Daphnia pulex: one gene and its partner. The protein of the gene in region 2 interacts with the protein of the main gene of each other region in a pairwise test. Links are inferred from orthologs where the notes say so. Each region holds a gene or a part of one and is shown on either strand. Other genes may lie near its edges. The genes, in order: E3 ubiquitin-protein ligase MARCHF5-like and ubiquitin-conjugating enzyme E2 W-like.

Region 1 (3,681 bases), on a different chromosome or scaffold from region 2:
GCTTTCCCTTAAATTTGTTTTCATCAAAAGCTGCACCAGTCTCTTACATGGAAATTTTTGAAAACCAGACTGTTAGCATCGGTATATTTGTCCTCAAAGATGGAGCTTCTATTCCCCTGCATGATCATGTTGGTAACTGATTCAGATGTAAATTTAAAGAAAACTTTAATTATTGTTGAAATGATGATTGATTAAAGGTATGTACGGAATCTTGAAAGTGTTGTATGGGAGCCTTAATGTACAAAGCTACTCTCCAATTGATCTCCCTGGACAAACCAACAGCTCTATAGTGCACCAACCTCAGTACCTAAAGGCGAGAAGATTTCCCATCTCCTGTATTAATGAGAAGGATAGCCCTGCTGTGCTTTCACCTTCTGAACACAACCTGCACACAATTTGGACTGTTGGAGGTCCTGCATCTTTTCTGGATATTTTGGCACCTCCATATGATCCAAGTGGCACTCTGAATGGTGGGAAGGTTAGAGATTGCTACTACTACTCAGATGTTGCAGGAGAAGATGGAATGCCATCTAATTCTGAAATCAGATTGCTGAAAAAGACTTCTTGTCCACCTTCTTTCTGGTGTGACTCTTTGACCTACTGTGGACCTGACATCAAACACCTACAGCATGAATTAAACTAATTAAGGTAGCAACACAGGTTAAAGTTCCAACAAGTTTTATTTGCAGCAGCATCTCAACAGAAACAGTTTCAGTACTGTAACTAATGTTTAAAAAAAAATGTATCAATGTGTTCAAATACACAAACTGATCTTAACCCACCCAAATCAAGATTAATATATACACTTTCATGTAATCCCAAAATTCATACTTTCTAATTACGGATTAGTATTACTGCTTGTTTTTATTTCTTTTCCGTCGGATGGCCTTTTGGCGAAGTCCAGCACACGGCGTTGATATTGCCGAATAAGAATTTGTTGCTTGTAATAGATTTTCAAGGCTCCTTTGAGCATCAAAAAAGCAATACCACCCTGGAGAGACAAGAATTACTATAAATAGGTATAAAACTAAAATTAAAAAATATAGCACATCACTTACAAAAAAAGTTTTCTTTAGATTGGAGTGAACAGGATGAAATAGCAATTTTCCAAAGAGAACAGCCATTGATGGAAATATTAATGCTCCACATAACACCCTGGTAGCAGAAACCGGATCAGAAAACGGTGGCTCTGTACCCTGTGTATGGGGCCGCACAGAATCTGATGCAATTTGAAAAGTGGGTAGTAAATGTTTCACAATGGGCACCCGGGGAACATTCTTATTCAGAAAACCCAAGAGAGCTTCTTCCCAACGAACAAGCCTTCCCAGTATAAGCATGATAGGAACTGTTGGTAGGCCGATCAAAAGAAAAAGTGGATCTGACTGTTCCATTAATGCAAGTCCTTCTTTGGCCCCAACCGCTTGCATGATAGTAAGCGCCCCATAGGTCACAGCAGTCCAATAGATAGAACCAATGACAACACCAGCTGCTATAAATGGGCACACTCTGTAAATAATGCGGTCAGCAATATCAAGAACTAAGATGAGTTTTCCTAAAAACGAAATCACATTAAACAGACTAAACATCAACAATGTAAAAAGAAAGTTACCAATTGGAGGGAAAACTATAACATATTGGGTGTTGCATTGTGGACAGTGAACCCTTTCCAATGAATTGCCTTTCTGCTTTTCGTCAACCCAACGTTGGAGGCAACTTTCATGAACCCATCTTGTTGTCCCACTACATTGGCATGGTTGCACCCACACAGCCGTAAGATCGTCCTCATCCGTAGCAAAACAAACCCAGCAATATCTTTTGCTAAAAAAAAAACAACCAAGTTATTGCAAATTCAAGTTTTTAATTGCTTTCACTTACTTATCATCGTGTAAATCTTCTCGGCGATTCGTTTCAATGACGGGTTCTTCTGTCTCAGACTCCATGATATTTCAGTTATTTTTCTTTCTGTTGTTTATCACAATATAAAATGCTACAGGGACATCTAGGAGCCGTTACAGAAACCAGTTGGAATAAAACGTCATAAGTGTTGGGTGTTGGCATCCCCCCCCATGAGTTGCGAGGTAGGAAAAAAAATTCTAATCAAATTATGCAGTCTAACTTCTAATCAAATACATAATAATGAAATAATAAGTAAGCAAAAGGTAAACTACGAAATGGCAATCTGACGCAGTGGTTTACACAGGTTTACACGACGACGACATTAGCTTACTCGAGAATGGGGAGGGGAAAAGACACATAACATAGTTTTTTATTATTAGTTAGATTTTTTCAAAAAGTATGGTTGACCCCGAGGAGGAAGCGATGAATGAAACCAGAGTCACAGATTACTCTGATGAAACGATGACGCAATTTATTTAAATGTGTTTAGGGATTTAGCAATTGAGTCCTAAAAGTGCTGCTGGTATTTCCGAGGGGATGTTGAGGAGGTGGGGTTCTCATAAGTCATCAGATCATCATCATTTCTCGCAGTCGGCCACACGTTTTTCCACTCGTTCGTAGCTTCATAGTTAATTGGTTCATTGTTCTATTTTTTCATTCCGTTCATTCTTCTGTTGAGTGCCGCTGACTTTTGTAAGGATGGTTGTAAGTATAGGAGTAGGTACGTTTGTCGCGTTTTCTTGTTCTGAGCATCCGTCAAGTGATGAATGAATGATTCACAGATTACCCCAACTAATGTTATCTTAGTTTTGTTACGATTCTGTTCACAATTATCGGCCTTCATTTAGTAATTTATTTTCTTGTTCGTGCTTTTAAACTCGATCAACTTTATCTGCGCTGAATGACGATCGTGAACGAGCTCTGACATAAAGTTTTCTTGTGATCAAGTCTCCCTTGTCATTTACCATAATAACTGAGAAGTTTCCAATGCTGCCACAATAGTTTTCTACTTAATACTTATAATGGAATGTTTTTAAACTTTTCTTTCACTTTGTTTGTAAGATTGCTTATTGTTGAGGCATAATAGACTTGCTTCAAGTATTAGGGTTTGTTCAACAAACTTTCTCGTTTAGATACATGTACCGTTGTCTAAGTTTCTATTTGAATGTCCATTGTGTTGGTCTTTACAGGGAGGAGTGGTCTATGTTTCAGAATTGGACTACTGGGCAAAGTTCTGCAGTTTGTTATACCATGTACCAAATGGTGAAGACATTGAAATTGAGATGCTCATTTTTCTTGCTTTTATTCACCCAATCAAAATTATAATTTTATTTTTTTGTTCTTGTCTCATCAGAAGCTAAAGTATTCTTTGTCATTACCTGGCTGAAATCATCTTTGCTATCCAGCAGTTCTACACTTTCTAGTTTGGAATATGAAAAGGTATAAATATTGTAACTCCAATTATATTTAGGCAACAAATGAATTCATATCAATTTTTATGTTTTCTAGATGCATTGTTTGGATCTGGTAGACATGACTTTAAAAAAAGTAAACAAAGAATAATACATCAACGTAAATTTTTATTGGTCAACAAGTAGTACTTGGATATTAAATCACGAGCTCACAAATCATGTGCTTGCATGGCACGAATTCAGTACAACCTGAAGACTCAACTAGGACTTCCAGGTAATTATTTTCGTTGCCCAATGGCGTTACAGATAGTTCTATGGTCGCTGGATATATGTGCGTCATAATTATTAAAACACGATTTTTTTTTAAATTTTC
Region 2 (4,307 bases):
TTTCTTCTTCTCCATCTTTGTTTGATATATTTCCTAGGAATTTTCCTTCCTCCACACACACATGAAAAATATATATAAATATATTATTATAGATTGTCTGTTTTTAAATAAAAGAAAAACGTGTGTGTGTGTGTGGTTGGAGAGAGAAAATTCGTGTCAATTATTTATACCGGAGCTCGCACAGAGCTGTTATGTATACCAATCCCCCCCCTGCCCTCCTTATTCTTCTCTCTCTCTCTTTGTAATTCTATTTCAATTTCAAAATTGTTTCTTCGTTTCTCCTTAATGAATTTTAAAAAATGCAGTTCGGATTTTTGTAATTATTATTTTTTAAAAAAGGATAAAATAGCTCGGCGGATTTGTTTCTTCTCAGTGTGTACACGTCCGACGGAATACCGTGCAGCGCTCAATCATTTTAGATTTCCTCCTTTCTGATTTTATTAATTGATTTAAAAAAAAAGAAAAAACGAAAAAAAAAAGTTAAATTGTTTTTTTTTTTTTAAACCTTTCCCTTTTTATTACCCAGGAGAATTTGTTTGTCAAAAAACCTTTCTTCCTCTCCTTTTCTTCAGCTCATATCCGCTATATATACACTCCTCATATGACTGGCTATTTTAACATTAACATGAGTCATGGTGTGTGTGTGTATAATACGATCATTAATTGACGAATGACATTTTTTTTCAAGTCGCCCACCTTAATTAATCTCTACGTTTACCCAAAAGTATGTTTTGTCACGCCCTTCATTGCTGTTGTTATAGCGGAGTCTTAAAAAAAAGCTGTCGGAAACGAACTTTAATCTCTTCTTCTATTTCTTTCGAAACAAAAACATCACACAAGACACACACACACACACATCAAAAAATGTTCTCGAAAAGGATAATAAAACAGAAAAAGTCGATTACAAAATTTGCGCCCTACTACCCTCTGATTTTGAAACCATTTCAGAAATATACAATTCATTATTTACTTGGCTAATTCAAATCGTTTAGTTTTTTTGTCTTCCAAACGTGAAATGAAAAAGAATTTGAGTATAATAGTTGAAACAAATTTTATACGAGCGAAATATTTTTCGTTTAACATTTAAAGAATGGGTGGGGGTAAGATAAAACACAGTAGAAGGGGGGAAAAAGGCTTCGTAGATTTGATGTCGATTAAAAGTCGAAAAATCAAACGCCAAAAGTGTGAAACATTACACATCTGTAGTTTTTCGTGAATATTGCTACAAGTCAAAAATTGGAGAGTATCAACCGCATATTAATCAAGACAGAGAGGAACTGTTTCGTTATGCGAGGAAGTAGTAGGTCAATATCGGGAATGGGAAATCAACGCGATCGATTCGGAAGGGTGGAAAATTTTGACAACTGAAAAAAGAAAATCCATTTTTGTTTTCTTTCGTATTTTTTTGGCGACTAGATTGTCTCTGACGCGAGCATCGCCAGCGTGAAACAGGTTCTTTTTCTTTTCGTAGCGGGAATCGAGGGGGAGAGATATCAACCCGTTTTACACTTCTTCGTCTGGCAAATTGGGAAATGATTTATGGTTAAAAAAGATTAATAATAACTCGGGTTTAGGCGGTAGCCATTCAAACTCACCGTGGTACCACCATTTGGTTTTCTTTGGGTTCTTGCTGCACGTTTTCACGTACATACTGTCATCCGGTGGTCTCTTCTAACGGGTCAATAGTCGTGAATGAGTGATGGGTGAGAAAGATACTTTTTCACACAATTGAAACTGACCTTTTCTTTACAAGAGCTGAGCATTGAGATAATGGAAACACAGACCGAAAAAATGGACAGAGCCGGTGACCAGTCATCGGTCAATATACTGAGGCAGATGTGGCCTGAATAACCGAAAAGGTTGGAGAAAAGAGCCGCGGTTAAATTATTGACCATCTTTTAAGGGTTTCACGCTAGACAGACCGTTGCTGTAGACGTGCGGATGGACAGGGATCTCCGATCCGACGAAAACAACCTAAAGAGAGTGGTCTCAAATGAGTAAAACATACGTGTTGGTTTTGGTCAATTCGTTGACTGAAAGGTGTTACCTCGGGCGAATCGAAAGGGTACTTTGGTCCGAAACGAAACTGTAACTGAAACTGCTCCCCTTCGTAAATCGTTCCTTGAGCTCCATTAATACTCAACACCAACCTGGAAGTGAGATTTGAAAAAAATAAAGTGAAAAAAGTGTGATGCACTTGTCCAACAAAATGTCAAGTCAATCTTACAAGTCCAGGCTCTGGCCCACAGATTCTCCATCGATCACAACACCAGGAGGAGGTTCCTTGATCAAGGAGACAAGCTCCTTTTGCAGCCTTTTCTGTAATATTAAAAAAAAATTGAGTTTTATTTAGATACTGATCTATTCGGCAACAATCAGGGTTAACCTCTTGTCTCTGAAGAACACACGATTGAGTCAGGGATTTGTCACTCATATTCGCAGTGGGCACCAATAATGTGAGACACAACCACCAGCAAGTAATGCGAAAACTATACTCACCGATCCAAGAACTAACTTGCCACTTATGTAGCTTTCTCCTTTTATAGAAAGGAAATGTCACCAGTTTGACAGTACGCTGCAGGGTTTCACTTCACGTGAACCGTGCAAAGCCACACCAGACATGTGCCAAACTGACATGTGCCAATAAGTCAGAACTCTCTTCTAGGGTTTCATTTTCTCAGGTGACTCAATTGGGAAGAATAAGGAAGCAGTTGGTTGAATCTGTGCCATAACCGATTAGCAAGCTTCAAGAACACACACCATCTCCAGAGCAGTATAGCTATTTTTACCGCTAAAAAGACTTCCGAAACCTCAAACCGAGTCAAGAATATTACTTAAAAGAAAAGTTTTACTAGCAAAATGTCAAGGACAAGTCCAAATAATGATGAGATTGAAGGACAAGCTGACATGGCAACCGAAGGTTCCTCGAGTTTCATTTTCTACCAACTACGACTAGATAATTGCAGGCGGCTCTTTAACGTTTCGCCATTCTGAATACGTTCACACTTATTAAACTGAAGCATTTTTTTATTTAATATTTACCTGAGCAGGAGAACATGTGAAACGCGAGTGATGTGATGACATGTTTTGTTTTCTTCCTCCAAAAACGTCTGGGTATTTCGCAGACGCAGTTGTGCGGAACGCTGTGAATTGCGGAAAGCAGATGCGGAAGTTGCGAGTTCAACGACCGTGGAAACTGCCTGTAATAAACATTTATCGTCGTTTATTTCTTTTTACGTCGCAAATAAGATTGCCCTTCATCTCTGATTCAGCGAGTTTCTTTCTTTTCCAGTTCACACGCAGACAAAAAACAAACGTCAATAAGTTGGGGGATTCCAACGTTCACTGAACTTTTGTGGTTCGTGAGCGGAAACAATAACTACGCAAACGGGCCAAGTTGCGTCTTCCTTAACCTCCTTTGTCGTGCAATGTCACTGCTAACTGTCTAATTTGTGTCCCGCGTCAGCTAATTGGGACTGGGTACTGTACATCTCCTATATAACCTTAAGGCAGAAAGTTATCGATTGATGACATATGGTATTATAACAAAACTGAGACGTTGATGTTTTTTTAAAAAGGTGGGAGCCCTTATCTTTTACAAGTGACAACAAAAGCGTAACGGTAGTATTGTTTTCAGTTGGAGATATTTATGGCAGTTGCGAATCCTTTAAGGACTAACAAGATATAGTGACAACAGCAGTGTCATATTGACGTAACACATTATGCAATAGGTGTGAGTGACGCAAGTCGAGCGAATCGACGTTGTTTGATCGATTCTTCATTGTCTCGGCGACAGTAGTGGGAAACAACGAAGTATCAACATTTTTTTTTATTTATTTCGCAAATTAATTAAATAATTTTCTCCAGGCGAGGCTCGAACTCGCGACCTCGGCATTACTTTCAATCTTTATTTTGATGTTAGTTTTGCATATATTACTGTCTATAAGTACCATGCGCTAACCAACTGCGCCACTGGAGATGTTTTGAGAGGACCCAAAACTTAATTCAATTAATATTTTTCTGCAAACATTTGCCATTTTTGTTTAGTCAGATTGCATAATGCATTCTGATACACTGCGGATGTCTTATAACACGGTTTCTATTATGGCGCAAATAAAAAGTTTCCAACACAATTAAAAATGTACATTCTCTTGATTATCTCCGAGCACGACAGATGACATGGCTCAATCGTGTAGGGCATGAGCTTTCAGTTAAATAGCTCATATGTGCCGAGATCGAATCCGATAGAATTGCAAATGATGAAAAATTACTTCCAACTCACGACGGTCTTCTGAAAATACCGTGAC

Evidence for each region.
Region 1: the proteins of ubiquitin-conjugating enzyme E2 W-like (region 2) and E3 ubiquitin-protein ligase MARCHF5-like interact in binary tests that used the Homo sapiens proteins (3 or more experiments, as listed by UniProt). The link is inferred for Daphnia pulex from reciprocal best matches to the Homo sapiens genes UBE2W and MARCHF5.

What each region holds. Positions count from the first base shown.
Region 1 is NC_060025.1:257,643-261,323, forward strand, and holds E3 ubiquitin-protein ligase MARCHF5-like, read right to left. Parts: upstream 2,321-3,681; 5' UTR 2,228-2,320; intron 2,014-2,227; exon of another isoform or gene 2,000-2,013; 5' UTR 1,941-1,999; coding exon 1,876-1,940; intron 1,819-1,875; coding exon 1,610-1,818; intron 1,553-1,609; coding exon 1,059-1,552; intron 992-1,058; coding exon 839-991; 3' UTR 662-838; downstream 1-661. Other genes in the region: 2-aminoethanethiol dioxygenase-like, read left to right, coding at 1-132, 198-643. UniProt on the Homo sapiens protein: Mitochondrial E3 ubiquitin-protein ligase that plays a crucial role in the control of mitochondrial morphology by acting as a positive regulator of mitochondrial fission and as an important regulator of immune response.
Region 2 is NC_060027.1:2,995,048-2,999,354, forward strand, and holds ubiquitin-conjugating enzyme E2 W-like, read right to left. Parts: upstream 2,972-4,307; 5' UTR 2,435-2,971; coding exon 2,387-2,434; intron 2,320-2,386; coding exon 2,228-2,319; intron 2,151-2,227; coding exon 2,048-2,150; intron 1,975-2,047; coding exon 1,923-1,974; intron 1,844-1,922; coding exon 1,740-1,843; intron 1,672-1,739; coding exon 1,596-1,671; intron 1,518-1,595; coding exon 1,504-1,517; 3' UTR 791-1,503; downstream 1-790. UniProt on the Homo sapiens protein: Accepts ubiquitin from the E1 complex and catalyzes its covalent attachment to other proteins.